Astyanax mexicanus: one gene and its partner. The protein of the gene in region 2 purifies or fractionates together with the protein of the main gene of each other region. This does not show direct contact. Links are inferred from orthologs where the notes say so. Each region holds a gene or a part of one and is shown on either strand. Other genes may lie near its edges.

Region 1 (16,685 bases), on a different chromosome or scaffold from region 2:
CAGAGATCTGGTAGAAACCCCAACCCATCTAAGACCAGGCAAAGTTCTCTCTCTTCCCCTATTCTCCATCCGCAGATAGCCTTATTAGGCTGTCTTACAGAAACAGCAGTAAAACACACCATCACACACTCCAGTAAGCCTGTGTTTGGAGCTGGTCATGGAGAAGCAAACCTTAACATATTACAGTCTCTCTCTCTCTCTCTTTTTCTCTCTCTATCTATCTCGCTCTTTCTATCTCAGACACACGGATTAAGAAAACCAGAGAGAGAAATCAGTTATTATCACTTAGCTTTTTTTTTTAACAGATGTTTTCCACTTGACTAATTGTATCTGTATCCTTCCAGAAACAATCCTAAAGGCTTGTTCCTCTGAATCTCTTCTGTGTCAGTGCAAATGTGTGATTTTTGCCGAATCCCAGCCACACCCTTCCTGCTAATGCTGTTTAACCCCTCACCTTTGACCCTCATTTTAGAATGTAGAGGTCTGCAGCTGTGAAATGTCGAGCTGCCGTGTTTCCCCACCCTCCCTTACTCACACACACACTGTCTCAGCTGTGAAACATACTTATGCCTAATGTGTTTAGAAGTTTTGATGCTGATTAAAATAACTTTAGGTATGCGACTGAAGCAAGATCTCATTCCACATGAAATTGAAATGGACATTTTTGGACATTCTTTCATTCTGGAATGTGCTCACAGTACAATAACTGAATTCATAAATAGATTAAAGGCTTGTTCTGCAATGTTGCATAAAAGAATATGATGAATGATACATTTCTTTTGTTTACTAAAATTTGAAACGCTAAAATTAACCTCTTGTGAATTTCCTGTTTTATAACAAATTGCTCTTATTGCTGTTTGGTTAGCGCCCCCTAGAGGTTTCAGAGATAGTTAGTCTCTGTGCTTTTTTCTTTCAATATTTTTTTTAGATCATTCAAACCCCACACCCCTCCACCCAATGGCCCACCACCCCCTGTTACCCGTACCTGGAAGATGAGCACTCTGAAGTTGTTCCTTTGGATTAGGTGACTGTGGTTCGCCTCCAGCTTCTTCACCTGAATGGCCTGTTTCTCCATGCGGTCCCTGACCTCCTTCATGTGGACACTGACCTTGCGGCTCTTGTCCAGCAGTTTGCTGAGGGTGTTGGCGGTGCTGCTGTGGCTCTTGCTGAGTTTGGTGATGTTGTTTTGGATTCCACGGACGGCACCCTCCACCTGGGCCTGCCGCTGCTCCAGGCGGGACTGGTCCTCCTGGACACAGTCCAGCATCTTGACCAGCTGGTCCAGCAGAGTCAGAACCGTGATGGCACACACGCCATCAGGCTCAGGCTGGAGCAGGGTGTGTGTTGGAGGGGCGTCCACCACTGGGTCCGGGACGTGCAGCTCCTGGCTCTCATGTCCATTTGCCACGCTGATCCTTTCGGCCTGGACTCCGTCCTCACCCATTTTCACACACAGCTCACACACTTGCAGGACTTGCAGGGCAGCTCACACACTGGAAGCTCACACACTTGTAGCACCACACCCTGTGAGTATGTGTGTGTGTGTGTGTCTGATCTTGTTCTTCGCTGTTTTTCAGGAAAAAGTTTCAGTTTCCAGATTCAGTGGCCCCACCCCTCTCTCTCGCTCTCTCTCTCCCCTCAATCTTCCTCCCTCTGTCCCTCTCTCTCTCCCACTGCCCCCCCTCACTTGGAAAAGTAGAGCAGTGTTTTCCCCTCACAGCCTAAAAAGCCATTCCCCACCCTAAAGGGGTGGAGCTTGGTTTCCATGGAAGCTTGTTCACCCAGTGCCTGGAGCTTCATGTGTTTGCCTGTTCTGAGTGCAGGAGTTAGTGATAGAGTGTGTGTGTGTGTGTATGTGTGTGTGTGTGTAATGGTATGTGAGCAACAGTCTCCAATAAACTCTCTCCCCATTTTCGTGCTCTCACCCACTTGCACTTGGCCCTCAGCCAAATTAAAGGGTGAAGAAAGCGTGTGTGTGTGTGTGTGTGTGTGTGTGTGTGTGTGTGTGTGTGGCAAGAAAAGCTACATGTTTGAACAGTGAGCTCATATATGCCTGTAAGTGTGTGTGTGTCAGGGAGACAATGCAGTCAGTAACTTCTATAGTTATGAATAGTATCTGAGACAGTTTTGAAACTCTCAGTCTTTGGCCTAATCCCATTTCACCTCCTGCCCCTACTATTAAGCCCTACCCCTCCATATATGTGCATTCATGCCTTGGGGTAGGGTGTCCCTTATTCTTTTTAAGTGTTTCTCCAAACAGAGATTTGTCAAAGCAGATGGTTATAAGAAAAACCTGCAATGCACAAGTGATAGGGCTGCACGATATTCGAAAAAATTTACATTGCAAATGTTCTTTTTTCAAAGCTATATGTTGCAATATTAAACAATCAGGGGCCATGACTTTACCAGCTTCACCTCCACACAAGTGCAGTCTTAAGTCGGGACCGATCAAGAGTGAGTCAGCGCCGAGTACTTAAAACAAGAGAAAAACAACAGTAATTAGCCCTTTAATCAGACATTTAAATTGATTTTTAAAAGGTGTATAGGAGCCTTTTTCTGGAATTAAAAGTGTGAATTCAGCTGTAACTGGAAATATCTGTGCAAAACTGTGCTGCCCCTCCCCCTCGCACTTCTCAGGCAGCAGCCTGTCACTTAGACAGATACAGAGACAACGCTGTGTATCTACTTCTTGTGTCAAGAATCAAAACACTGACGTGTTTGATTTAATTGCCTTGCACGTCCTGCGATGTGACATATCGCGATAGTGATGCAATATCGATATATTGTGCAGCCCTAACAAGTGACCAATGAAACCCACAGACGTATTGATTTGTTTGTTTCAAATTGCAATATCCATTGCATTTTGACATTAAATGGTGCTACAGTAACATTATTTTACCTAAGGCTCCCTGTAATCGACAAATTATGGGTGGAAGATGCTAAATAATTACTGCATTACTCCTTCCTTTGGGAAAGATACATTTAACTAAGGCACATGTGTCAAACACAAGGCCCGTGGGCCAAATGTGGCCCGCCACGTCTTTTTATGTGGCCCGCGAGAGCTTGTAAAATTTTAGTGTCTATAATAAATAGGTCAGAAGCGTTCTTTGACCAAAAAATACATTTCCCACAATGCTTGTCGATTGTATTACCCGCAAAGTTACGGCTTACTGCCACTACACGGCAGTGTAGTCATTGATGTGGAAACCCTGCCGGAGGGAAGGTGTAACTTCGCGGGTGGAATTGAGACATGTTTATCCCATAATATCCAGAAAAAGAAAAGTTGATGCAGACGGACGGCTGTGCTTCAAGGCGAAAGACCGGTATGCATTTTGTGTTACTGACGAAAATAAACGCTTTTTAGAAGAGATATAAATTATGTGTAAATATTTATAAGACAATAGCTGATCAAATCTGTTTTAATGAGGTTAATAAACATCACTGTGACATCGCTAGTCGCAGTTTCACCTCAGCAAAGGACGAGGAGGTGAATCACTTATCTAACCAGCCTTTACTGATTTCTTCAACAGTCTAACCTTGCAGCCGTGGTGTGTCCACTAAACTCCGTAGTTATAAACATCCTGAGGTTAGCAGCGCGCTAACTGACCTGTTTATAATGTAATCCGAGCAGTGACTCCGGGATGGCTGCTCTAAACTGCTGCTGTTAGCTGCTTGGGCTGAAATATGAACTGTAGAGAGCTGTATTATCCGGTTAGTGGGGTTATTTTATTTCATACACAGAAGAACTTAAAATTTTAAAAACGCTCCAGACTGGCTCAGCTGAGTCCTGTAGCCCGTGGCTGGGCTGTAGCTCTGACTCAGTAAAGACTGTGGGCTTGTGCTGCTGCAGCTCCCACTAGTGGTTGGATGAGGAAATGCTAAATCTGTCACAGCTCACAATTTTTGATTTTATATTTATTAAGCCTCTTTTCAGTATCAAACGTTTTGATCAAAGTTAATATAACTTGTATTTTATGTCATTTCTATTCACTTGTATAGTTTGGTTCTTGATTGATGGAGTTTTTGGATTTCATAACAGGATTTATGTTAATAGAGCAACAAGCAAACATTTTTTCCATGCAACTGTAATATTTGATTGAATAAATAATATATTGAGAGTTATTTAACATTAAGGAGTAATTACATTCATTTACATTTACATTACATTACATTACATTTGGTTACATTTTCTTATATTTATAAGTTACATCTGGCCCTCGGAGGACAGCCAATATGCCAATGTGGCCCTCGGCCAAAATGAGTTTGACACCCCTGAACTAAGGTCTAGCAGTGACTGGGGTACAAATGAGAAACAGGATTGCCCCTCTCACTGGTATCTTTCACTGCTGCTGAAAGATTTAAAAAAAGACTCCCTCCATTTGAAAAAAGCTAAAGAAAAATGGGAGGTGTAGTTTGGGAGGGGCACTGAGTGATGTATGTGTTTAGAGGCAGGGCATGGGGAAAGCTGATTGGCTGAGCTGCAGCAGCAGCAGTGTGCCTCTGATGAGGCGCAAATGGTTGGACGTCAGCAGGGGGGGCGGTATTATTGATTGACTGATCTGCATATTGTATGTGTCTGCATACCAAAATACTCAGACACATCATCTACACCTATCACAGTTGAATCTGAGAGGGTGCTGCAGAGGCAGAAATTACCACAATAAAGGCATTTAAGCAGGACAGGTATGTTGCATTACTTCAAAGAAACACATTTTAGCTTTTAATGAAAAAATATGATTTAGGGTTTAGTGTCTCTTTAACCCTCCTCTCTTGCTGTTGTGAGGAAATTTAACATAATCTTTAATATTGAAAGAGCAATCCAAGAACCAAAAACAAATGTACATAAATAACACAGATTAGAACTCAGGTGATAAAGAGTGGGAGAGCTGTCCAAGAACGACTAATGGGGAGCATACAACAGTGACAAGATGTTAAGAACCAGAAGGTGTAATGGTACCCCCAGTGTGGCCAAGGAATGAAGACAACCTTGTGGACCACCACCCACTTTTCCAAAAGCATCTTAACTTGACCAACCAGAGCTGTTGTTGCACTGGACTGAAGATAGTGAAGTTATCAGGGATGATCTCTGGCTTGGACACAACTGTAACCAGTGAAAGGATAAGGCAGACAATGCCTGATGTGACCTCTAGGTCAGGGAGTGCGTTTCTAATGCTTACACAACCCTGGATGTAGGACATTCTTTGCAGGAAACCTGGATCCTTTCCAGCTCTGTTTCTTTAGACCAAAGCCCTTCCAGTTGACCATATATTATACCCCGTTCCTCCTGAAAGAGCATAGCCTCACCCAGTGGCACTGGGAAAAATAAATTGAAGAGAGAGGCTCAACTTTGTTTAGACATTTATTAGACACTTGAACTTGTATAGGAATATTAAGCTTATTATGTTAACTAACACTTTGAACAATCTTAATTGGACCAATAGTCTACTTCAGTCCAAAGTAAATATTATGCCCAATTATTGTTCATGACAACAATTTACATCAACAATTTATCTAGCACCTGATTTATTCTCCTGCACTGACTGTTTGATTAAGGGTGATATCAGAAGTTAGAGTGATCATAACACTTTTAAACAAAGCCATTTAAAGAATTAAGACCAGACATGACTATACAAACCTGTATATTAAGGACTACAATCAGATGCAATGCCTTCCCCGAAAAACACAATATAATTAAGAATACTTTCAGCAGTTGGAATAATGGAATAAATCTGTTAGAATTGCAGTGTATTCTTGCACAGGGGTAAATCAGTCTACTGCTACATGTAACAGAGATGAACCAGAGATGAATCAAGAGTTCCCCTGTATTAACTTACATTTCTCACCCTATATTGCATGATACAAGTACTATAAATGAAAAAAAGACACTACACAGTTGTTCTAAAGGTATTGATTGCGGCTCCAATGACCATAGCCTTCATTCACCAATTATCATTCAAAGAATTTAATATTTTGAGTTTATACCGTCAGAAATACTGTATTTTTACTAGAAATTTTCTGATTTAAGATTGTAGAAATGTACCCAGATCTGTCTGACATAACTGACTCTAACTAAAAATGCTATTTACACTTTTTATGCTTAATATTCTTTTAAACTAAATCTAGCAATGCCTAACCCAATATCTGGTACTTTATATTAGGATTACACAGAACTGGAGGTATGGAGTCTCTAGTGATATGATCTTATAGGATCACTTGTTTTTGTATTTCTTCTTCACTTGAACTCCCTAAATCTGGTTCCTGGTTCTTAAATCTCAAACAAAACTGTCTACGTTATCCAGTTTATGCCAATAAAGCAGCACTTTTTCCATTAATCTAATCTAATATGATCTAATAAAATGCATTTTTTCCACTTAGAAAAAATCATTGATAGGGCTTTTAATGAATCTCATTTCTTCTGTTTCTTAAGACAAATTGCCTTTTCACTGATTCTGTCCTGAGATCATAAAAAATCATCAAGCTTGTTTGGCTGCTTTTTGAGGTTTTTTGTAATGGTCTCTCTCTTGTAACAGCTGCTCTGACCACACACTGATAGACACGGTGCCAAACGGTATTTTCTACAGAACTTAGAATCGCATGTAGATGTACAAGGACAGCCTTTTTTTATTTTAACTGAGATACATTTTGTAAAACAAAAAAGAAATAATTTGTTTTAATAAAATGTTTTTTTTTGCTGAGAATGTGTTTTTGCACCCAGCATGCTCAAAAGTATCAAGGGCTTTATTATATCAAGGTCTCGTTCTCTTTTAGCTCACCAGCATTCTTTAATTTTAAATTTTAATGATGTGTGAATAAGCAGATAAAGACTAAGTTTGCTGTTCTGATATCTTCATGTTGGCAGTAGATCTCGAATCAATGTCATTAGCAGCACCGTTGTTACACAAGTAATCAGCAAAAGCTGTCATGGTAAGAATAAATTCTGGAAAGACCTACCAGAAGCTGTTTTAGAATAAATATGTTTGATTCCATTTATTAGAATATTTTGTCTCCTCTTTACTCAGGAAAACTTATTTTTTTAACAGTTAAGGTGTATAAAGTGTTATTTGGACAAGTACCATAGAATAAACCATGTAGTTCTTTAGAGCATCAATACATTTAATTGTCATTTTAAGGACAACTGTAAACCTTTTAATAAAGTTTAAATGTCACGGAAATGAAAAAAAAAAAGCTTTCAGAATCCCTTTAATAAGAGTAATTTAGAGTAATTTAATAAAACTATTTAGGACTCATTTATTTACTCAGCATAAACCTACAGATGAAAGAAAGTGAAGAGTGTTCTTCAGCACTGCTTTAGACATTTATTTATTCATGCATTTTTACCTTTCAGGTTCCTTTATAGTTCTCAGTTTACACACAGTTTTTATGCAAAGGAGCTTGTCTGCCCGTGTTAAATCAACACTGTAAGCATTAGAATTTGACTAGATAAATGTTAATTTAACACAACAGTGTTGATTTATCCCTGGCAAATCTGCTGTGTTTTATGTTCTCTGAACACTGTCAAGAACAAAAATGCAAGCTTAGTTCATCATGAAAACTTGAGAATGTGTTAATCAATGGATTTGTTGAATTAGGTGTGTTTTAAGCCGGATATCACCAACCTGTGCAAACTCCAGGCCTAATCAGCCCAGCTGCAGGGTGGGACAAATACATATTAAACAAATGTGTGTACTTGAATGTATATGTAATGAATACGTGTACGAAAAATGCAGTGACCCTGAGGTAGCCTGTAGTCTGCAGGCCCAAATTGACTAAATAAAAAAAAGTATTTATGTCTAAATAGTATTTTTTTTCTCTTGTAATGCAGCACCACTCCATGGACATAATCTATTATTACAGGTCTGCAGTATTTGACATAAATGTATACAAGAACTCAGCCCACATCAGTACAGCTGTAGATTTTCAGAAGTTCCTATTTTTAAACAAAATTGTGTTGTATTTGTGGAGTGACCTTTTTACCATTGTCATGACAGATCATTGATCCATCAGCAAATATTGTCTGAGTCAATAACTGTGACAGACAGATTGTTCAGTGTCACATTTATAAGCACACACTTTTGTGTTTACATAAATATTTGAGTCTTTGCATGTTTAATTTCAGTTAGGTCAGGTGACCGTGATGATTAGTTCTGGATCACAAACTCCACTCCATCTCATCCTAAAGATATTGGATGGGGAGCTCCAGCATGGTTCCACCGCTCAACATTCCAACAAAGGAAGGGATGAAGGTAGAAGGTTGTATAAGTTTAAGTGGGTCCTTTTAAGAAAATCCCCAAAAGATCCCAAAAATTTTGACTGTTAACATAAACAAAATCCAGCTTAAAACCAGCTGGTCATCAAGAGAAAAAACATAGACTATGCTGGTAGACTATCTCCTTGACTAGCATAACCAGGGTATGTATTTTTTAAGCTTTTTTTTTTTTTAGAAGGGTTTACTTTATTAACATTGACCACAAATGTCTTATGTTTGTGCATACCCTGATATTATACAACATTAAATAAAGGTTATTTTTATACATTTAATTTTTTTAAGGTTGATGATGGAAAAAAACAACCTTTATTTGACATTTCCCTATGTCCATCAGTTAATGCGGAAATTCTGACACTGATTCAACTTTCATTTAAAGGTTTTGAATGGTTGGAGCTCTGTATCTACATTTACTTTTAGGTGAAGTGTGCTTTACACAAATAATAATATTAATACTAAAATAATTATTATTTAAATGTGTCTTTTTATTGTGCAAGACCACAGTACTGATTATAGGAACAGAATACAAACAAGATACACATATGTAATGTAATTAAAATTTAATACAAACCATATATATAAAACCATAACATTTAGTCGAGATCTTTAGTCGTAAAATCGAGATTAACGTTGTTTCAGTGCATTAGCGATGGAAAGTTAACGCAAATTTAACGTTTGGTCGTATTCTGCTTCAGCCATCACTTCCAGACCCAGGCGAACTGTGTAACTGATAACACAGCTCCGCTTGATCCACTCGAGACGCCGTAGCTCGCATCCAAAGGACCTTTCTAGTTGCCATCGGTGACGCGTCCCTTGTCAACCAATCAAGCCCCGCCCCAAGTGCCGCATTCTTCATCCTGATTGGTCCGTTTGTGTAGTTTCGTCTGAGACGCGCACGGTAGTAGGGCGATTCTGCTGTCAATCAATCTCCGCCGAAAATCTATTTACAGTAGGCTGGAGGAGCAGCAGCCGAGGCGAATCTGTTCAGATTAAAAGCAGCGCTGTGTGTTGTAAAGTGTGGTATTCCGCTAGCCAGTTCACCTAATAACCAGGTTAACCCGCTACAGCGAGTCGAATATTTTAGCTAGTGGACTGCTGCTTTCTGTTCTGTTTTATTTTTTTTATTTTTCCATTCAGTGAATCGGACGATTTTCGGAACGATGTCTTCGGATGAAGACAGGGCGAAGGAGATCCTGAAGGGCTTTAAACTGTATCCTTTAAACTTGAGGCAACAGCGCCAGATTAGCCTTCAGCTTCCAGAATAACATTCAGTGACCAGATTAACACTGTTTAGCTAAACGTTTCATTTCGTTTAAGAAATGAAGCGTGTTTTCTTATCTAACGTTTTTTAGCCATAGAACCTAAGCTAGCTGGTTATAGCGATGCTTTTCCGTTAGCAGGATTAGAGAGCCGAGTAACTAACGTTTGCAAGGTAGCTGGCTAATAATTAGCTAGCGTTAGCAATCTTAGTTAACTAACTATAACTAACTGTATAGCTAGCCAAAATTTGTTTTTATATTTTTATTCTTAATCGGCAGCGAATAACCAGTGTTAATACTTAACCTATTATCACAGCCAATTTAAGCCTTTTTAATTTTGTAGTGTGCAGCTACTAATTTATTTTAAATATTGGTGATAGCTGTACATAATATTTTTTTAATTCTATAACCATTAGCTAACTTAGTTAACCTAGCTATCTGTTAAAGAAAGTGTGTTATAGCTAGTTAGCTAACTCATAATTTTAACAAACTTTATATTCTTTATTATGGCTTATTATTATATATTTTATTACTTTTTGTATTATTATTGTAATTGTATTTAAAACGAAAGTTTATGTCTTTGCAGCAGCATGCTAGCACACTAACTTATATTCTATGTAAGGCTAGCTAGCTTTACTGGCACCAGGTCTATTTTGCAGATAAGAGTACATTAGTTTGTTAGGCTGGCTAAACTAGGTTAGCTAACTAGTTTATCAGACTAGTAGTACCGGTGAGTAGTAGTACTGTTTGTATAAATTAGCTAACAGCTAGTTAGGTTAGCTAGCTAATGTATAACTTTCGTTACCAACTGATAAGTGCAATATATATAAAAGTACACTAGACGTCTTTTTTTTGTGGTTTACAAATTGCCCAGTTTCCTAACGTTACTGATTGATGTTACAGGGGGTGTTACGTGTGGTAACCTGGTAGTGAGGTGTTACAGTCAATCTTTAGCTTTTAGTAAACTGATAATTTGTTCTGTTTTGCGGGATATTTCCATATATGTCTGTAGGCGTGCAGAATGTCAGCTATAAATCACGTATTTAAATTGCTTTTGTTTTTTGAGCTAGGGCTACTTGGTCTGCATCTTTATTACACTACACTTCCTTCACAGTGTAATCTAAAATGTTGCTCAAATCTGATTTTTCACTAGTTTATTTAAATGCAGACATGTCTGACAGGCTCCAGACTGTGTAGCAGGTCATATTTAGGAAGATTTTAGGAGGTTGCTAGATGTTTGTGGGATCAAAGTGCATTAACTAGTGAAATGACCCCACTGTAAGAGTGTCTCTGCTGGCTACTTGGTTTACATAACGTTGCCTGCTGCTCCTAAAATTGGCTCAGTAAGTCCGACAAGAATAATCACACCTGCACAGCCTACCGCCATACTGTAGCCGTCACGAAGGGTAGGTTGGATTCATTTAACCTGTTGAAAGGGCCTGTAGAGGTATCCTGATGTGGCATTGTGTTTTTTTAGAGTCATTTGCTGATGTTGTAATTTGCAGTTGATTATGAGTGTGACCTTCTTTGGGAAGGTAAGGGTGTATCTTACAGGCTGGTAATTCTTAAATCCTTTATTTGCAAGGGCAGGGATTTGCCTTATGCTACTCGCATCCCTGCCTGTGCCGGGTGGTTCTCAAAGTCTCATTACAGTAATGGCTTTAAATCTTTCAAATATTTGCCTTACCTATAGACATATTTATAGAAGGCTAATTAATGTCATATTTGTGTAGGTTATAACTTAGTAATGGAAGCTTAATGAGCTTTAGATATCAAACCAGTCAAAGCCAGCAAGAATTCATACTAGTGTCAGGAGTCTTTTTGTTATTTTTTTGCTGTATTTAAATACCTACATGATTACTCTAAATGGTAATACATCTGTTTCTTAATTATTGTAAATTGCCAACACTGTAAAATGAATGTTAATGTATAATAATCAACTCTGCTGTAGCTACACTGCCTAAACGTAACACTGAATCCCCTTGTGGCTTTAAATGTGCTGTAAATTGTAAACAATTATCCCAATATCTAATATCTAAGTGGGCCTGTTTGTTTGGAATATTGTACTGTTTTGTATCTGTGATTCTCTGGCTGTGAGCCTCAGGGGTGAATGCAGTGCATAAAGTAGCCTCCCTTTGGAGAAGCACCAAAGCACACATGCTCATGAGGATATAAGTGCACACACCCCCAGAGCCAAGACCAGTGCTCACTGTGTAGAGACTTTTCCTTAATGTATCTTAAGTGTGTGAAAACATAGATATGTTAAAAACTAATATGTGGGAATTAGTATTCAGATGCAGATGGATACCATTCAAACTCCCTATTCAAACTTTTCTTTTTTGGTTTGATTTAGGTTAGAACATCTCACTGGAAACTGCCACTGAATGATCAGAGACAGTCTACTGACATTTAGAACGTTTTTTTAAGCTGGTACCTTATTTTTTTGCAAGGCCAACACCGAATTGCAAATGGCAGATTTGAAACAGTGGGTAACATTTTAAAAATGCATGTGACTTCCGTAAAAGCAGTGTAGCCTTGGGACTAATTAGCATGACTGTGTCATTGTTTGTGAGTTAAAGGGTTTCTCCCCTGCGACTCTCACTGTGCATCACTGGTATACACAGCTGGTGTGATCCTGAAGACACCTGTCACCACTAATCTCTAGTGCTATGGCCCAATCCATCATCAACGGACCCAGTTAGAGCATATGTTTTTAATTGAAACTTCCTGATAATCAATATAGTGCTGTGTCTTAATTGTGCTCTCACTTATGTTTTTTATAATTTGTTTTAGTTTTATAAAGTCTGAATTAATGGTTATAGTATAATATTGAATAAAAGTACTCTTGATAGTGATTGAGGGATGCTCTAAATCCTACTTAAAAAAGCAACTTACTGTGAGTCAACTTTATAGATTTTTTTTGTAAGGCAGTGTGGGTGAGTTTGCATCATGTGGTGTACACATAGTATGAACCATAACAAAAGAGGTGCTACCAAAGGTTATTTGAGCAGTGCCATAGAGGAACTGTTTTTGGTTGCATAAAGAACTAGATATGGACAATAGGACACTATTTTATTGTATTGTATTATTTCTCATCAAATTGACAATAACCTTTTTAAAGAATATAGGGGACTGTATTGTTGAAAAACGCTGACAAAACTGCACATTTCATTATTTTAATTGAATGTATAATATGACATTTTAAATAAAAATCACTGTACTCAGTTTAGGGTGGTATTTGAATAGTTGAGTTTTTTAAGGATCCGTCACTAATGGTGCATTTTGAGTGCTATTGTGTCTCTTGAGCTAAATATTGTGTATCATAGAAAAGCATTGTTATGCATTTTTTTTAGCATATCCTCCACCCCTATAAAAAATTAGGTCCTTGACCTATTAAAAAGCTTTTTCTTCCTCATCATTTTTGGTTCTTTATGGAACCAAAATATTTTCCTTTGGCATCTCTTAAAGAACTCTTGCTAGCAACATCATTTGTAGTGTTGAGTGTAGTATGTGGTAATGTGGGTCCCTTGGTGAGTGGTTACTATGGTGGGGGTTTGTGTTGTGGCCTGGCACTGACAGACCACTGTGTTTGTGTACCTCAAGGACAGGACTAGACAAGACACAGGTGGTCTGAAGATCAAGAGGTCAGATGTCTGTGACTTGAAGCAAAGAAGATTATCATTGTTTTTATGTGTTTTACTTCCGTAAGGGTTTTACTAAAGAAGCGTGAGGCTGACATTTGCTGTGATGCTTGAGACTGTTTGTGGAGTTTTAAGCACATTTTACAGTTAATGTGATGTAACAACTAAGTAAGAAAAGCTCTAAAATAGCTAATCTGATATAATGCTGTGTTGTATCTTGATACATTGTATCTTGTATTTTTGGACTTTTTAAACAGTGTTTATTTTATTTGCTGAACATTTTTTTAAATATGGAAGGCTTTTCTCTCAGATTTTAGTAGCCTTAACCTTAATCTGCAGAAACTGGATGAACCTGAGGGATGCAGAGACGGGGAAGGTTCTCTGGCAGGGTACTGAAGATCTCTCGGTTCCTGGTGTAGAACATGAAGGTATGAATGCTCCACTGTGTCAACTGTGTTCAAAGCTGTTGGCTCTATTTTCTAAGGACAGCAGTTCACCTAAGGTTTTACTTAAGCTTTTAGAGGCTTTAGCTGCAGACTGAATGGTCTTTGTGGATCTATGTTATGCATATATTTGCTGTCCAATGAAAAACAAGTCTCCAAAACAGCAACTTTACAAGTGAAAAGTAAAAACTTCTTCTTCTAAAACTTTCAAAGGTAAAAGAGTTTCTTTCTTTTTTAACTTTGGAGACATTCTGTTGGTGCAGTCATCAATAAATATTGATACACTGTAACAGTTTGTGAATAGTTTGTGTGTTTAAATTATATAGTAAAGTAAAAATTGACAAAAATGGAGAGATTTGTTTTTCATTGGATAGCGATGAAATCCACTATTATAAAGACTTAACATTGTTACAACAGTGGTATAACCAAACCATTATAGCGGTAGTATAACTGCTGTGTTTTCATGCAAAAAGGAAAAATGATATTTGTAAGTAGTGTTAAAAATTAAACTTTGTTCTCAGTGGGCTGAGGACATTTAACACACTTTACATGTAGATGGGTTATGTAAGAACATGAATACACTTGTGAATCTGTGCAAAAAGTGTAACACGTTTGTCCTTTTCAGCTCGAGTTCCCAAGAAGATTCTGAAATGTAAAGCTGTCTCTAGAGAACTGAATTTCTCCTCATCAGAAAAACTGGAAAAATTCCGCCTGGAACAAAAAGTGCTCTTCAAAGGCCAGTGTCTAGAAGGTTGGGACCACTATTTCTTATCATGCATACATTCTTATCTTTCCGTACTCCAAATTATACATTATACATTATACATTATTCAGTACACAATTTATACTGCAGTTTTTACAGTTAATAAAAAAGTATTTAATAACATATTTTACACATATACCTATATGTTTATAATGTCTTAGAATTTTTTTGTTTTAAGTTTATAAGTTGTTCTGTGTACTTTTTGGGTGTAACCATTTATTGTATCCCCTCTCCCCACAGAGTGGTTCTTTGAATTTGGCTTTGTGATACCTAATTCCACCAACACATGGCAGTCTTTGATAGAGGCAGCACCAGAGTCACAGATGATGCCTGCTAATGTGTTAACGTAAGATGTTTTTAAATGCACGTCTAGTCATGTTAAATAAGTATCTCTATTCTTTCTACTGCCCATTCCCTAATTGTTCTCTTTTTTGTCTTTTATAGTGGTAATGTTGTTATAGAGACCAAGTTCTATGATGATGAGCTTCATGTCAGCACCTCCCGGGTACGACTTTTCTACGTCTGAGGTTCTTTTTTTTTTTTTTTATCTGTCATTCAGTAGGATGCACACATGCCTGCACATTTTTTTTATGGCCAGAGGACACTCTGCATAATGAGCATTTCTGTGGCACCGTGACAGCGGCACTAAAGGGAACAACTTGAGCAAAACAAATTTCAGGTCAAACGGTCATTCCAATATGATGGCAGATAAGGACTTGTATATAAACGCATTGATGCCCATCACAACCTGACTATGTAAATTATTACATTTGTACATTTTTTTCTCTCCTCCCACTCTTTTATCAAATTGTATCATGCGTTGTACACTGCTACCTTGTCTTCTGTTTTTAAACATTTGCTCTGGGTTTTTGTGGTTGCTGAAATTGTGTTTTTTTTTGTTTGATTGCTTTTGTTTTTTTTTTCTAGCAACACTGTAAGATAGACAGTTTAAAATATTAAAATATTGATATCCTTGAGTGGTACCTTTTTTCTTTTATGCTGGTCTGTGTTTTAGAACTCAAATACATTTTTATATACGTACATATATGAGAGATAGTTATATTCGTTTTTTTTTAATGGAAACTTTCCAATTTTAAAGGAGCTTCTGGGACACTATTGGGCTGCCTCTAGCCTAGATATAAGATGAGATATAGTTGGGCATAAAGGCATACAGCGTACACATGGCATCATATGGCAGATTTGCCCAAACATGTTGCAGCTAGGTCTGTGGATTCCTCACACTCGTAGGTTTTTGAAACGGGCAACCAAACTGGACCCATAAATGCTCACTGGTGATAAATCCAGGACCTTGCCAAAGAAATTGTTGCAGTCTGACATTTCTGGTCCACATTGTGGGTGCATGAGCTTTATCTTGCTAACAAAGCCAGATGAAAGGCCTGCCATGAGAGGAAACCTGACCACAGGATGTCCTATGCATATCACAGAGCTGTCATAGACTGTCCCTCATATCACTACTAGGAGTGACTTACTGTCGTGTGTTATGGCTCTCCAGATCTAGCATTTGTATCAGTGTGTTGCTCCCCAGCAATGGCAGGATACACTACCCAAAAGTAGGCTCTGAGAGCCATTTTACACAGCAGCATTCTTGTGACAAGACCCAGTGTCTGAACAGACCACACCTGTAAAAATATCCTTATCTGCCCGAGATGTAACCGCATGTCAAAATTTTGGGTACATTTTTTTGTTTTTATTTTGTCAGAAAGTGTATAACCACTTTAAAAAAAAGTTCTTGTTTACAGTGATGTAGTTCTGCCATGTAACAGGCCTATATTCCATGACCGTTTAAAATTTATTTTAGGCACGTGTTAACTAAACTGTTCTAGTCCTATTTTGGGAGTGTTTGAAAGCAGTGTTCAAGTTCACATCCAGGAAAGTGCTAACATCTCATATTTATTGAGCTAATGCTTTATAAAGAAACAAAACCAATATCAAAGTATTTTGCTTGTATGCCTTTAAAAATAAAGCAAATCCCAAACCAGATAGCAAAAATATGTATAATCAGCATTCAGCAATGATAAATAAAGGTTGTTTAAAGGTTTTTTTTTTCTATTATCAACATTTAAGCGTGTAATACAATACAACCATAATTTAACCTCTTATTTGGCTTTGGCCTTATACAGGCCACATGTGTAGATGATACAAAATACATTTTGTCTGCAGTAAAATAAGTTACTTCTTATTTACTTCACATTCTTAGTTACTGCACATTCTAAAAACTTTAAGGGATTTGGAGACTCCTACAGGACACTTCGAGAAGCTGCCTGTCCACTCGCTACTCCACAGATCCCAGCAACA
Region 2 (16,689 bases):
GTGAGTCATAGGTCAATCTTTTCATCCAACCATAAATATGTGTACAAAATAAAATCAAATCAGACAGGCATAGATGTTAAGTAAAGTGTAACAATGGTTGTTACACACAGCTGTTAGGCTTGAGGGTCCAGGCACTGCCTTTTTTCTCTCTTCTTCAAGCTCTCATAAGGATGTGGCAAACAGGTCTAAAGACCTGAATGGTGGCCCAAACACTTCATCTCCCGTAGTTCTGAGTTTCCCTTTGGTCCTGAAAGTCCAGCTTCCTGAGTCTGTAGCTCAGCTTGGGAAGTATGCAGTCTCAGTTTCGTCCAGCTTCGTCCAGCATCAGGAGATGGAGCAGACGGTGCTGTTGCTCTGGTTCTTCATCACGGCCTCCCTCCTCTTCAGTTCTCTGGTAATCCTCCTCCTGATGCCCTCCAGGTACACGGGTCGGTCAAACTGTCCGGCTCCCAGTGGAATGCTGGAATGCAGGTATGTTGCATTAGAAATGCTTAATCTGCTAAACTAATAGAAGGTATGCTACTTTTTGATCAGGGATGGCACAAAATAGTAATGACACAGTAGGACATTATGCTCACAATTAATCCAGGAAGAAAAACACAGCTAACCCATTTATGTCAATTTAGCAATCCTCAAATATGTTTACTGTATCTCAAAGAGAAGTACTTACTTGTCTCTGCCAGGCCGAATTTTGACCTGAAACATGCCAATAACAGGCCGGTGATCCGAGGTTTTGATCGATGAACAGGAAGTGTACTTAACCACTTTAATATCATCTGCTTGTCTGTTCCTGTACAGGATTCGATCCTACACCACAATAGAACAAAACGATTCTTAGCCATATTGAAATAACAACAATAATTATTCAAACACTAAAAAATAAAAAAATGACAGTATTCCTCACTGTATATGAGGGTGTTCTCTGCTTGGAAGTGCTGTCATAAACATCACAGCCAATGTCGAACTTGTAGGTGGGAGGGAAGTGGATAGGGGCTTCCTGAAAGCCTTTAAAGATGGAGCCTATGAACAGAAGTTACAGGTTGGATTAATTCTACAGGCTGGATTAAATCTTTGTAGTGTAGATTTAAAACAGAGCCAGCCCTACAACTATCAAGTGTCAATAGAGTTACCTTCTTTAATTTCTTTACACAGCTGATCGTGCTGAAGCAGAGGGCCCATATCTTTCCCAATGTGCTGGTTTAAAATAGCCTCCACGCCTCCCCGGTCTTTACTCAGGCGGAAGTTAAAGTCCCCAAACCAGAAGACTTCATCGAATCGGGTGGTCACATCCGCTGAAAATAGAAGATACAAAGAGATGTTAAGTAACAGACACAGATCAACGGTAGGTGATGCAGCAATTTAAATGTGATTTGCAAGGAGACTCACAGGCAATGGAACGATAAGGGTTGGTGTCAGGAAGACCTCTGGGAAGAGCCAGAGCTTCTACTATCTTGTTGTAGTCCAATATTCTCTCGTACACTTTGGAATCTCCAGCTGAAACAGAAACATCGCCCATGTTATTATGGTACTAAAGTGGACCTGCCAAAAGTCATAAGATAGGAACTAATATGTCACATGTCTTTTGGCATGTCGTGTGGAAGCTAGATAATGCTGCAGCAAAAAAAGAAAAAGGAATTGTCTGTTATATGAGCAGCAAACTAATATTGATGCATTTTAGAATTCTCTAGTAGCTTTTCAGGTAAATTCAGCAGATGTAAAGCTCATAAAAGACCTAACATACTCTGTCATGTTGGATGTTAGTTAAAACGCTTATTTGGCTTAAACAACAAAATATAATTGAACATTTAATTCAACTACCAGTTTCACAGACTTTTTTTTATCTTTTAGCAGCTTTTACAACTATCCCTGGAAATTTGTGCTGGAAATATGACTTTTTGACAATCACTAGAAGTATACTGGTATGCATTTATGCTGTCTTCACTTGCCGTACTTACAAGTAAAATGAGATGTTATAAAGAGGAAGGATGTCCCAAAAAAAGTGAAGCCAATTCCCACTGCCCCTTTAGTCTTGATCTGCGAGATGATGCGAGTGGTGACTGTAGCATGTTCCACCTCTGCAAGACGAATCATCACCAAAAGCAAATTCAGGCAGTGCATACACAGTCAACAATATAAATATAAAATTACTCTCAATTAAAAGGTTAATACTGATACTAGTGAGATACTCACCAGAACAGAACCATATGAGATCCCTTCGTATAAAGATGGTAAGATACAGCACTCCGTGTGCTGCTGCATAGAGCATGACGTAGTATGGACCAAGTGTTTCCTGCAGTCGGATCTCCCACTCCCTCCTGTTGACACAAAATGATGAGTAAAGCATAAAGAGAAACAGTGGCCAAGATGTAAGCAACAGTCAACAGATGGTATACCTATCAGGGCATCCTTCCTGAACCCCAATGATATAGAAGTCTTGAGCAAATTCAGTGTCTGTGGGAAGTAACAGGTCATCGAGGTTGTTTGGAAACCCCTGTAGATCACATGCAATAGTCATTAATATGGAAACATATATGGAGCCAAGATTATAGTTATTATAACTAGAATATAGTAATTATAATAAGTATTATTATTTTAAAAGCTGTGTATCACAATATCACTCTGGATCACCCACTTTTTCTCCCTGCATATTCCAGGTGGCTATGTAGATCCCCACGTGTCGGTCAGGAAAGTACCGGTCCAGCTCTTCAGGCCCAAGCAAGGCTCCATTGCCCAGCACACTGCCTTCCAGAAAGCTCCTGAAACCAACATCATCAGTCAGGTATATGGTTGATATCCTTATGCCATGTGTACTGAAGATTTAAACAGGTTAATTCATACACACAATATTACAATTTTGCCCCGACTGCATAATATTGAGTAAGTATCTTTTGCCTTGACTTAAAGTTTCAGACTGCCAGCCCAATTAATGATTTTAAAGTGTCTTTTCTGTTACTTGCAAAGAGCCAATCTATTTAATTTTTACTTTTCAAATAATCATTTGTTACAACCCTACTTTTGATAATTGAATGTTTTTACATTTTAAAATGTGATACACTATTTACAAGTTTTTTTTAGAAAACACAATTTCGAAAAAAAAAAAAAAAAGTGGATTTGTCATGCCAAAAGTACGTTCAATGTAAAGATGTGTAGGTTACTTGTAAAAAAAAAAAAAAAAAAGACCTTGCTCAAACCTTGCTCAATTATACTCTGGTCTGCTCTCCACTGCAGTTATAATATATCCAAACAAATAACGCAAAGCCGTGGACTGACAAATTAGCTCTTAATGCAAAAACTCATATTCTTTGATGAATGAAAAATCCAGTCAGTAAAACAGCATGTAGTTAGCACCTCCTACACTGATCCAGTTTTAATCCCCTTACAATTACACTACTAAGCATTCCTCATTTCACACTACCTTATATACACAAATTTATTACTGAAGATCAGATCATTCAGCATTTGTTAATGCTGTGTTAATGCAACATGCGACATGCTGTAGATATACACATACTGTGTATATCTAATAAATGTCTGCTAGTTTCTTCTGAGATAGGTTACTTAAGTATGCAATTAACATACTAAAAGGACAAGGGTATAACAATTCTAACAGACTTCTAGATGCAGATGAATCACCTGCATAATACCTTAATATATCCATAGAAAAAAAGTAAATGTTAACAACACAAATAGAAACAGCACCGGTCACTATATGCCCAACAATGAACAGCAGCGAGGGCATGTACAAGCCCCAGGGAAGACCGGTTAATCACAGCATCAGGTGGCAGGTGCATGACTAAACATGGATCATTCAAATACCCCCATGACTATGATCTAAGCTAGTGGAGCACTGAATGACAAACCCGGAAGTGAAAGGCGTAAAGCTACATGACAATGGCTAAGCCTCACAAAAGCTGCAATAGTGCAGATTATCTAAAACAAACGCACAAACATATACCAAAAAAACTAAAAGCCAAATGAATGAACAGGTTCTACCTGTTTCTCACATCCTTAGGCCGGATTGGGTTCAGTGCACTGAAGTTGGACTTCATGGAGTTGACCGAGGCACTGTCTGCCACCATGGTGTCCAAAAGCCGGCTGTCGCTGAAGTTCCTGTGCAGCCTCTCCGGCAGGCCCCTTTTCCCGTAATCCAAACAATCCCTGTCAATCCGATTAGTGGTCCTTAAGGACATGGAGGCAACACTGTAGTCCAGTGGAGGAAAAGATCCCGTAGGCTGCAGGGGCGACAGGATGATTTTGGAGGGTTTTGCCCGCAGCTCGACCAGACGACTCTGCCTGGAAGGATGTTTGTCTGCCTCTGGGAGGCTGCTACATCGATCCCGAAACGGTGGGGACTCCCTTGTTGCTCGATCAAAGTCGATTCCCCCAGAGATCTCTCCATTTTTTAAACCTAAAGCACTGCTTAGCACAGGTGTCGAGTCTTCTCTAAGGGAGTCCGTGGAGGAGCCTGTCTCTGCTGGATCGGTGAGACTCTCCTGACTACTCCGCAGTCTTCTCCTCCTTGTCTTTTCCTCAAAAGAGAAGTTTCTGATCCCTTTGCCAACACCGGAAGGCTTGGGCAGGGAGGGTGGATGAGGCTGGAAAGGGTTAAGGCTTGTCTCCTGGATCTGCTCATCCTGAGAGATGTGTAAATCTTCATTGCACTTCTTGGTAGCTCTGGGTTCTGTGTTGGTTCCATCACCACCTTCTATGTTAAAGCTGGTCTTGCTGCTGGGTGGCTCCTTTGATCTGACTTCATCTTCAGGTTGGAATGGGACGATGGTATCTCCATTCTCATTCATCCTACTATCACATTGGTCTTCAGATGCAAACAAGCACCATGGTGGTCCTCATGTGTTCATATCCTGAAATGTTGGTGACAAAAAAGAATGCCTTAAATTATCAGTTATGTACTGAATAATTAAACTGCTTAATGCTTACTTTTCTATATTTTACACTTTCATAAATTATACTATACTTGCTAAACTGTATTACTTAACCATGTATTATTTATACTTAGAGCTGAGCGGTATACAGTTTATATTGAGCTATAATAGTGATGTTCAGTGATATTCAATAATCTATTTTTTTTTCCTTTCATTACACTGAACTCATATTATTAATCATGCAGCTAAATACAGTGTACTACAGTGTTTGTCTAATATTAAGGTGAAATAAAGTGTTATGTCAAAACTAGACCTGAATTAAGAATAAAAACATGTGGAAATCATATCATGCCTGGATCAAATTTGTGCCAAATGAGCTATCAAGTTCACAAGACATCCTGTTTAAGAATAATGATATCTCCACTTCATAAATGGTATAATAAACAGTTCATAAATACGTATAATCACTGGTTATGTGTGACATTTTAAGTAACACTGCCATTAATGAGCTCAGAAGCAAATGGAAACTGGTCAGACCCAGGGGAAACTTAGCTTGGTAGCTAGGTTATGCTTTTCACCTTTTCTGTCGAGTTGTGCTACCCTGTCAAACCGTGCTACCGTAGTGTATATTTAGGTATTTAGATAGGTAAAAACACAAAAAAGCACCATATTAGAAAATGCTCCAGGCAGAAGAAGTCTTGGTAGGAAATTCAGAATAAATGAATGTATCACGTAAGGTGATTAGAAACCGTCTTTTTATAGTTTATTACTAATATTTTTCATTCCACTTTTTATTGCCATTTACAGGTTTGTAACATTCAAGAAGACATCTTAATGCACCCAAGGAAAGCGGAATTATCATTAAAAACACATGAAAACATATAAAAGGTGTTAAGAAGCACATTTCGATGGGTAGCATAAATCGACAAAACACCGGCTAGTAAGTTACCGCTAGCTAGGTTACGTTAGCCAGCTAGCTTTAACTAGTGTAGTCTGGTGGTAAATTTTGTATTTATTAAAGTCATATCATAAACACAGTCAGATATATGGTGTGTTTTTACACCATAAATAACGGGCCTTATTAAACTAAAGGCGAAGAAAAAAGCAGCAACATGTTGTTATTGGTGAATCTCAGTTAACATTAGCGCTCTGTGGCTAGCAGGTCCAGCTGCTAACGGTGACCGCTATTAACACTGCTGTAAACGCGCCGCAGCTAACGGGCTAATAACAGGCTAACCGCGCTGTCCTCAGCCAACGGCGGCCGTGTCTCAGAGTGCAGCAGCGCAGTTCCGCTTTAATATATGTAGGTTATATCTAATTTGTTTGTTATTAAATGTAGTAATTTAATAAAATCAGTCGTTCAGTACCTCCAGCTCCCCGCATCATACCAAACTTTTCCCACTTCCTTAGCAACCAGCGAGCAGCAGCTTTCGCACACAGCGCCCCCCTGAATCCTACTGAATCCTACTGAAATTATTGATTGTATTCATTAATAAAGGAAAAATCTAAATAACTATACCTAAATGATCATTTTTAAATATATTTAAGTAGAATATGTCCTTAAAAAAGTTTTCTTCAATTTCATATTACTTCTCTGGGAGAAAAGAAGCATATAAAATGTATAATACAAATAATATTATAAAAAAATAAAGAATACAGGGATAATACAGGTAGATACAACTGGGTAAAAAATAAAACAATAACATAAACAATAATAAAATTCTTATAACAGATGATGAAAAGTAGAGTTACATAGTATTATATAGTTTGGTCACACTTTTGGTTAAATAAATAACTAAATAATTCCACATATGTTTCTGTATAGCTATAATGTCTTCAATATTAAATAAGAAAAACATAAATAGAAAGACAACAGAATAAATTAGATGTGTGTTCAAACGTTTAACTAGTACTGTATATTGTTTCAGTGTTGGAACAATAAAACAACCTGTTTTTCTACAGTCCTACAAAATAAAATTTCTTCCAAATTTACCTTTTTTATTATTTTCTATTTTCTTTTTCCCCCACATTTTTGTTTTTAAATCTGTAATTTGTTTTACATCCTAATTCCACGATTCTCTCTGTATTCCAATGTCATTTCTTGGAGCACTGTTAAGAGGTATTGACCACTGCATACTGGAAGCACCCCACAAGATAAGATGTTTCGGAGATTCTCAAATGCTTACACTTGCCACTAGGACCATTTAATCAATGTTATACAATTCACATCATTTCAGTATTTTAAATTTTGGCTAAATAATCAAACAGAAAAATAACTATAAACACACAGAACAATCTTTATTCCTTTTTTAAAAAATATTTTATTGACATTTACAAAATACAATATACAAAATCTCCCAGTGTTCTAATATGATCATTCATATTTGTGTTAAAACATACTGTGGTACAACCTGTTGATTTAATTACTGTTTAATCAGTAGATTTACCAATGCTTTGCCTGAGATGACAGCATGATAAATTGTTCATGTTGGCTTTGTTGACCTTTATGCACTTCAGAGTACAAAATACAAGTGTCATACTGAATTACAATCTTAAGACATCAAGTTGTACTGTTTTGTTAAGAGTACCTTATAAAGAATAAACATTTATATAAAAACCTTCAATAAAAAACTGCATACGCCATAATAAAAAGTGAATGGAATAAAATAAAAGGTGTTTCTAGGAATGTAAACAAAGGCAGCGTGATTGTTCTTATTCTTCTTTTTGTCTCTCTAGTCTTCCCAGTAAGAGCAAAGGAGCGACAAAGCAGGCCGAACTGATGAGGAAACAAATCTCAGCTCCGGCCAACCAGTACACTACAAGAAAATATGACAAAGATGTCTTATGAACACAAAACAGCAGCACCAGTGACAAAGAAAAAGTTACGCAGGTAACATATGCACCTTAGTTAGTCAAACTAGTTGTATCTTTTAAATGACCTGTTATCTAGAACAGGAAGAATTTAACTTTAAAGGTAAAACATCAATCATACTTTCAGCAATGTCTGTATATAGGTCAGTCACTTCCTCAAGTGTACCTGCTAATATAATAAAGATAACAGTAAAAGAGTAAAGGGTGTTTCCTGTTCCTTTACTTGCTGAAAAGTGATTAGTCACCTGAGGAGGCCAGAATTGGCCCCAGTGCTCGGGCCAGGGCTCCCAGGCTTCGGAGGATCCCCATCACTGTGCCCTTCTGACTGGCAGTGCCTAATGCAATGGAAACATCAGTGACATAATTTTTTAAAGATTTTATTACTTAGTTGTTGTTTTTTTTGTAACATATAATAATCCATAATCTATAAAGTGCTATATTTCTTGTCTTGTAGAAGAAGAGCACTGCTTTTGTGTGGCCAAAAAGACCAAATGTTCACAAATAGACAATGAGCATCATAATAATCAATAATATACCTCTAACAAACTGTTACAACTTCCGTAAGTTTGCTTAATGTGCCAGGAAACAAAAGCTTAGGTCAGTGCTAGGCTAAAAGCTAACTCTAGCCTGTCCATTCTACTAAATAACGTCTGTTCACTCGTCAGTAAACTGGAATATCTCCAACTTTAGTGACCTACCCAGTGTAAGTAACACTATTTAGTGTTAGTGTAATTGGCTAGCCTTATTTTGCACAGAAAGGAATACTGTGGAAACAGTGTGGTAAGACTCAAGGAGGGGGTCTGCAAAGGCAGGCCTTTAGGCATTCAATTTTAATTTTACACTGTATTTTGTTACCAAGATATTAATCACTGTCCTCACTGTGTTCTTGTGTGATCTTTCAGTACATATCTACTTACATTATGATCTCATTTTCTGCTGCATAACATCTGTAAATGTTTCTGTACAAATATCAGTCTAAAACTTCCATATAGCTTAGAGAACAAAGGCTCACCGTGTCCAGAGACTTGTGCTGATAGACATGGCACGACGATGGCAGCCGCTGTATGAGAGAGGAAAGCGCAAATCCATTGTAATTCAAAGGATTTCTTTTTTAACTAAAAAAAAGAGTTAAAGGACTGCTATCAGAAATTGTCCAGATTTAAATCACTGTATTCTCTGCTTACCAAAGGAGTACAAAAACAGGCCGCCATAGAGCATTGTCAAATTGTGTGCAAGGCCAATGAGCAGGAACGCAGGAATTAGTAATATTATTGCCTAAAAAAAAACAAAAAACAAACAAAACAAAAAAAGATGATTTAATAATTGTATAAATGAAAGTGCAAATGATTAACAATACAATCAGAACTTAATTCCTTTATTATATTAGCTACTGTAATTTAGGATTTTAGTGCAATAACTACTAGAGGAAAGCAGCACTGCTGATATGTGTTGAACTATGCTTTATAATCTTCTATGGGGTGACTGTCAATGCCTAAAAAAATACTATTATATGTAAATATATATAAAGTACCACGCGAACTGTCTTGATCTGGCGACTGGGCTGGATCCTGCGAGCGTATCCACCCTGGAACAGTGCCATTGTTATGCCAATGAAAAAGAACATCTTCCCCTGTTGCATGCTGTAAAAAATATAAAGAATAAAAAGAATAATCATTAGACAACAAGAATAATGAGGAAGTGGCAATTAATACAAAATGATTCAATAAATCTACCCCTAAAGTGATATGTCACACAATAACAGTAACAGTTACTGTTGTCACCACAATCACAGTTGTGCATAATGTATGAGTGTGTATTACCTGGAGAACTGAAAGCGCTGATGGGTCAAAAAGCTCAGAGTAAACTCCAACCCAGAGAAAAGAAAGAGGTATGCGAAGTACACCCAGCCCAGAACTTTTAGATTGTTCATGCCTAGTGTCACAATAATGAGACAAAAGCAAAATATTTGTAATTCTTAAGTAACAAAATGTGTATGTTTGTGGGCATGCAGCATATATCACGTAAAGTAGAACCAATAGTCTTCAACCCTTTTCCTGGAGAGCTCCATCCCATATTTAACACACCCAAATCAGCCATTCAAGCAATTATTGGATCAGCAGCTTTCCAGGAGCCGAGTTGGACAACTGATTTACAACTACAGATTTAAATGCAGATTTATAGCCATCTCCTGTAAAAGAAAGAATATAGTGTATTATACATAAAAATGGCAATAATTAATACAAGCCTACTTTGTTTTGATGGTGGTTCCTTTGTTCTTGTGATGGCAGAGAAGTTGAAAAGAGCCACTGGACTGAGCAGGTCCCCGACCTCCTGAACACCAGAGGCATCTGAGGAACCCTTCGATAAAGAAAACAGCATCTTTTATTACATGAAATCTTATATGACCAGTGTGTAATCCCTAAATCTCTATAGTCCATAGTCCATAATTATTGGTTTAACCTTGCTTTACTATTTTATTGTAGTTACATAATTGCATATTTAATTACATAGTTAGGTACTAAATCAATTATAGTTCACGTTTTGAATGTTATAAATATGACAATATGATGACTGTTCATTCAGCAAAACTAAACTGTTCCTAGAACAACCTAATAAAACCTTTTTTTCTTTCTACAATACAAATACACAAAAAATCGCCACAAAAAAAAAAGGTCTCACACTCTAATATTTCATTGGACCGCCTTTAGCTTTGATTACAGCACACATTCACTGTGGCATTGTTTCAATAAGCTTCTGCAATGTCACAGAATTTATTTCAATCCAGTGTTGCATTAAATTTTCACCAAGATATTTGATGATGGTAGAGTCTGACCGCTGCACAAAGCCTTCTCCAGCACATCCCAAAGATTCTCAATGGGGTTAAGGTCTGGACTCTGTGGTAAACTATCAATCCATGTGTAAAAAATGATCTCAAGCTCCCTGAATCACTCTTTCACAATTCCAGCCCCATGAATCCTGACATTGTCATCTTGGAATATGCTCGTACCATCATGGAAGAAAAAATCCATTGATGGAATAACCTGGTCTATATTCAGTATATTCAGGTAGTCAGCTGACCTCAATCCTTCAGCACATACCGTTGCTGAACCTAGACCTGACCAACTACAGCAACCCCACATCATTTGCTTAGTTAAATACAGGTGGCGACATTTTTGGCCAAGCAGTGTAACAAAAAAAAATAATTAATCCCTTATAGTTCCATCTCAACATCTGAAAAATCTACAACTATCTGTTAATAACCAGTAAATACCTGATGAATTGTACTTAGAAATAATATGCTATTATTCCTTTCATGTGTCTAATTTCTTACTCTGCTGTCCTTGTGCAAAGTCTCTGGCAGCATGAGGAAGATGAAGAGCAGGTCTGCTGTGGAGAAGACAACCGCGAGTACAGCAGGGCCCTGATAGAAAAGCTCAGTATTGGCCAGTTTCAGCACAAAGTATGCTCCCATTATTGGGCCAAGAGTGAATCCTAAAGAGAAGGCAACTCCTATCATTGCCTGTTAAGAAAAATACAAGAATAAAACAGTTACCAAACTGATCACACAAACATCCTGAAATCAAAATTTTGATTCATGTGACTCAAGTGTAATTACACAAAAATACACCTGTTGTAACACGGGGATGAGACGGGAGGCGGATTTATATGCGGGTAAGACCAATACTTTAATAAATAACAAATAAACAAATAAACAAACAGGGGAATAACGAATATATCTATGTACATAAACAAACAACAGGGAGAAACGTAAAACAGATAATAACAAACAGGGCTAGGGATATATATTAATAAAGGATAAATACGTAAATATATACAAAATAAACAAAGAAACAAACAGGAAATAAACGTGACTAGAAATAACGTGAATGACAATAAACAAGAGCGAGTGAATATGAAACGTGGAGAAAGCAATAACGTGACGTGACAGACAACGGGGGAAGGTGCAAAGACCGACGGCTAAACATGGACTAAACTGTGCTATAAATAGGAACAAGAAACACTGAACACCTGGGGAAGGGGCGGAGCTACAAATTACACACACGTGAAGGAAAAGTATTAGAGAAACACACTAGGAAACGGGGAAAACACAGGAAAACATAGCGAGGGCGTAACACCTGTTATGTCATTAAATCATTTCCAAAATCCACTTTAGGGCAGATATGAGTCTATTAAGTGGAAAGATATGAACAGAAAGTTTCCACAAATCGTAAGCTAATAAAAGCTTGATCTAGATACTATATCCTACCACATTTTTTGCACTATAAGGCGCACTTAAAATCCTTTTATTTTTCCTAAAAATTGTCAGTGCGCCTTAGAATCTGGTGTGCTTTATGTATGAATTTTAGCAGTCAGATTGTAAGGAGTAGTAAAACCACTCTGCTGAGGTCATACAGGAATTTCAGTTTAAATCTCCAGCAGTATTAGCATTAGCTGCTCACCTCCACCAAGCGGTGAGACCTGCTGAATTAGAAGGAAGACAAGGCGACACCCCTGTTCCTCACTAGAGTCGCATAAAATAATCTGGTGTGTCTTTTGTATAAAAATAGTCCAGAAAATAGACGTTTATTGGTAGAGCGCCTAATAATCTGGTGCACCTTATAGTGTGAAAAATATGGTATATATCTTGACCCTTAAACCACCTCAAAATTCATAGTGAGGGCTAAAAAAAAGTACACATGACTTCATTGGTCTTTTAACAGAGACCAAATCAGAGTGCTGTTATTGAGAGATACTGGCACTCAAAAAACCTGTAAGCAAATATAATTGTGACAACAGAACTAACTGTGGCACAATTTTCTATAACAATAATAACGACACTAATAATTACAGTACAGTAATTTACTTGTGTACATCTTGTAGACATCACACAGTAAACATGACTCACCATTCCTTTGCTTCTTGCTTTAGAGCAAGGCAGGTCAGCCACAACCGCAGTGCAGAGGCTCACATTACCCTTACATAGTCCTCCCACAACACGAGACAAGAGGAAAATACTGAAGCTGTGGGAAACCGCCCAGAGAATGTAGGAGAAAATCAGCCCCACCTGGAAACAGAGATTGATTGATTTTGAATTATAAGGGCCATGAATGTCTCAACACCCCAGCCTAAGAAAACATATTTCCATTATTTTCATTATCTTAGAATATTCATATAAAAGAAGCTAATATGCAGCTGTTGAAGCAACTTATTTAATACATTAAAAAATCCCCCATACTCACAGTAGTTAAAAGCAGCAGTGGTCTTCTCCCATGATAATCTGATACAGCTCCTATCACAGGAGATGACAGGAACTGTAGCAGAGAGTAGAGTGAGCCTATCAGACCTAAGAAGCAGAACAAAGAGGAGATGATCATCCCTATTGGACACAATCAATCTAATGATAAATTCAGAAGCTAAATCAATTTTTACCTCCAAACAGAACACTGTTGTACTTCGTTTCCATTGGAACTCCTACAATCTCCCTGAACCAGTCCACAATGCTCTGCAGTGACTGGTACACACTATCCTGTTTTAACATAAGATAAAAATACTGAAATCTGTTATGGATTTTACGTTTATTATCACTCATAATCATTGTCAGACTAAAATCTTGTTGACTTATTTAAAGATAAATTTGATCTTTCCTCTCTACACTTTTTCTACTATTTGCAACTTTGGCATTATTTTAGAGAAAATGATTATTCAATATCTAGTTTTTTTTGTGTGGATCCCCAGTTTAGACTGTGTCTCTAAGTTCATTTCCAACTCCACTTGTTACAGAGAGGCTTGGGCCAGAGAGAGTAAGAGTCACATAACAGATAAGGTATGGGAGGAAAGCCTCAAAAGAATTCCACATTGTTCTATTAGCTCCTGGTGCAGACAGATTCACTTCAAAGTATTACATAGACTGCAGTATTCTAGGGTAAAACTGCATAAGAATTTTGGTTCAGTATCCTCACTTTGTGAGAGATGTAAAATAGAATAGGGTTCTCTGGCTCACCTCCTTTTATTTTGCCCTGTTTTGTAGGGTAATGTATTCAACTGAATCTCAAGTGCACTTAAAGTGTAGTTGAACTTTGACCATGTAACTGTAATTTGTGGTTACTCTACATGCCTGGATGCTCTACATATCCAAATCTTCTACAACAAGTGCCGTGGCTGGTATGGTTGTGGCCAAAATGTTGATCCTTCTCGTCTGGAAATTGCCTACTGCACCATCATTTAAACGCTGGCTGTCTCACATTTGCTTCAATAGAAATTTTGTGGCAACACAATCCAGGGTGCACAAGACCTAAACAAAACCTGAAAACCTATATTAGACTATGTCAAGAGACACTAATGTGGGCTTGTTTTTTTAGGGGGGGGGGGGGGGGTTACCCCTTCTTCTTTCTTTTTTACGTGTGGTTGTTGGTTGGAGGTTGGGTTTTGAACTGTTGTTTCTATGTTTTTTTAATGGAAAATATAAAATGAAATAATAAAACATATTGAAACAAAACTTGTTGGCGTATATTCACTTTTTGACATAATGTGAATCTGGCAGCTGTTATTTACATTGTGTTATGTCATGGTGAATGGACCAATATTAATGCTCCAAAATGACCTGATCTTTTTACACTGACTTCCATTAAACTTCTGCAAAGTTGTCATTTTTTCTTATTCTAACACCAAAAATATGCTGAACAACAAAAGACAAGTGGCTATTTACTGATTTACTATGAATAAATTGCTATATAAATATTACAGAAGTGTATATTGTATAACACGTTATTACACAAACCAGAGAACTACATGAGTACATAATATTAAAGAGTAAGATGAGGATAAAGTGATATCTCACCCCTGTTTGACTGTAGTGGTCCAAAATGGAGGGGAGGAGGGGGAGTATTAAGGTGAAACCTAGCAGGTCCAGCAAGAGGGCCAAAAACACCACCCGAATGACTCGAGAAGAGTGTCTGTCCTCTGGAGAACTCTTAGCCCCCGCCATGACTCCTCTCCCAGTCTCTTCACTGGTCTGCTCACAAACCTGAATAGTTGTGGATGATACTCAGAGCATCTCCTGTGCTCAAAGAGATAAAAAATATCATTTTAAGCATTCAAGATGAAAACACTTCAACCTAAACACCACTTCTATATATACTTCAGCATCAATACCTCATATGATAACAGCAACGTACTACTAACATCAAGTGTACGGCCTCTTCAGAAGAGTAGAGGCCTTTACTGGAGCAATGAAATTTATAATATAAGCAGGTGTAAACAAACATTTGGACAGATATTGGTGGTGGAGCAGTTGCAGATTTAAAGAACAGATGCTTTAAGGAAGTTGACAAGTATTCACTGCATTGCAAAACAGCCAACTAACAGGAAGTGTTTTATGACGTTTTATGTCTTCACGATAACTGTAAAAGTGTGGGACAGCTAGAAGAGGTCCAAGGGTGGTTCTAGTTCTACAGATATTTAGGAATATCATTGATAATAATAATGGGTTTTACATTTAATCATAACAAACGCAATTTGCACTGTACTAAATTACAATGTGCCTTTTTGTGTCTCAGATCCATTTTACAGGTTATATAAAACAGCTTTAGAAAGCTGTTACATTCACAAGTCTTTAATTTCAACCTGCCTGCCTTTCACCTGTCAATCCAACTATCTATCCTTCCAAGTATCTGGATTGTCTTTGTCTTTGTGATTGTCTTTCTACCTGTCTGTTCTCCCAGCTAACAAGTAAAATGTTTTTCTATTGTTCTGGGCTTTTTTTAACGCTCTTAGAAATCTGTCAAGGTTTCTATGAGTTCTTAGGGTATTTTTATTAAATTGTTTTAAACATTCTGTTAATGTTGCTTGCAATTGCTTGTCATTTTTGCATATTTATAAACTGGTGGGTGATAAATTTGAAAGACTGTTGCTTTAAGAAGTTGGTATTTAACTTCACTGCGTTAAAAATACTAACAGCGACTTTGTGGAATAACTAGAAGTGTTTTTTTTTTTTTTTGCAATATAACGTTAAATAGCAATTTTACTAATATTACAATATTTTTTGTGACTTACAAAATAACAATGCTTTTGCCTTAATCTGCACTGTACCAAATTACAATGTAAGCTAATTAAGCTACTTTTTTTTCAAACTTCGCCAAAAGTAAATTTACTTTTTTTCAGCGGTTTTCACATCACTTTACAGATCACATAAACTTACAACAAACAACTTTATAAAGCTGGTATATTCAAACGCTTTACGTTTTCTGTTCAGTTTTAATTTCCAGTTCCACCTTAAAAACTTAAAAACTCCTGCAGCGACAGCCTGGAGCGGGAACAGGCACAGGCATGTAACCGTGGCAGCATTTAAGGTGGAACGGAAAGATCGAGTAACAAGCTAGCGAAAAAGAGGGAAACTTCGTTGGATTAAAACACAAACAACATTCCAAAATACGTCGAAATGGTTGGTTTAATCGACTCTGACGGTAAAATAGCTAGTCTGTCGAATCTGTCAGACCTATAGTTTAATCTGTCGGTAAATTATCGCTAAATAACTTCAGTGGCAGTGTCTCTGCAAACTCTCTGTTCCTGTCAAGTCTGCGCATAACTGTAAAATCAGAGCTCCAGTCAGACAGTGAAGCACTGCAGGCTGAGCTACACTATAGATCTGAGGAGAGATATACTGTACCTTAGGTTCCTCTCTTCGTGCTCGTTTGAATGGATGCGCGGTATGGTTTTTACACACACACACACACACACACACACACACACACAGTGGTGCTGTGTCTCAACCAGGAAGAAGACTCTAGCCAGAGTGGTGACGCAGTGGGGGAGAAACAGGAGCCACTGTTGGGAAATTGAAGAAAGATCAACTAAAGTCTATACTCTATATACAGCTCCACCTAAACATTGATTTTACCAAATTGAAAACCTCTGGAATATAATCAAGAGAAAGATG

The links.
Region 1: the proteins of inpp5e (region 2) and pde6d purify together in Homo sapiens (affinity purification with mass spectrometry; 3 studies listed by BioGRID and IntAct, with this or other methods). This does not show direct contact. The link is inferred for Astyanax mexicanus from reciprocal best matches to the Homo sapiens genes INPP5E and PDE6D.

What each region holds. Positions count from the first base shown.
Region 1 is NC_064412.1:25,056,837-25,073,521, forward strand, and holds pde6d (retinal rod rhodopsin-sensitive cGMP 3',5'-cyclic phosphodiesterase subunit delta), read left to right. Parts: upstream 1-9,201; 5' UTR 9,202-9,423; coding exon 9,424-9,473; intron 9,474-13,502; coding exon 13,503-13,591; intron 13,592-14,231; coding exon 14,232-14,357; intron 14,358-14,609; coding exon 14,610-14,715; intron 14,716-14,813; coding exon 14,814-14,895; 3' UTR 14,896-15,346; downstream 15,347-16,685. Other genes in the region: cavin2b (caveolae-associated protein 2b), read right to left, coding at 986-1,444. UniProt on the Homo sapiens protein: Promotes the release of prenylated target proteins from cellular membranes. Modulates the activity of prenylated or palmitoylated Ras family members by regulating their subcellular location.
Region 2 is NC_064429.1:22,875,419-22,892,107, forward strand, and holds the start of inpp5e (phosphatidylinositol polyphosphate 5-phosphatase type IV), read right to left. Parts: upstream 6,346-16,689; 5' UTR 6,251-6,345; intron 4,863-6,250; 5' UTR 4,800-4,862; coding exon 3,994-4,799; intron 2,757-3,993; coding exon 2,633-2,756; intron 2,492-2,632; coding exon 2,394-2,491; intron 2,316-2,393; coding exon 2,191-2,315; intron 2,076-2,190; coding exon 1,956-2,075; intron 1,495-1,955; coding exon 1,387-1,494; intron 1,293-1,386; coding exon 1,131-1,292; intron 1,021-1,130; coding exon 905-1,020; intron 808-904; coding exon 671-807; intron 461-670; coding exon 325-460; 3' UTR 1-324. Other genes in the region: mfsd10 (major facilitator superfamily domain-containing protein 10), read right to left, coding at 7,596-7,699, 8,000-8,089, 8,767-8,814, 8,939-9,029, 9,286-9,394, 9,575-9,686, 10,004-10,112, 11,086-11,274 and 4 more. UniProt on the Homo sapiens protein: Phosphatidylinositol (PtdIns) phosphatase that specifically hydrolyzes the 5-phosphate of phosphatidylinositol-3,4,5-trisphosphate (PtdIns(3,4,5)P3), phosphatidylinositol 4,5-bisphosphate (PtdIns(4,5)P2) and phosphatidylinositol 3,5-bisphosphate (PtdIns(3,5)P2).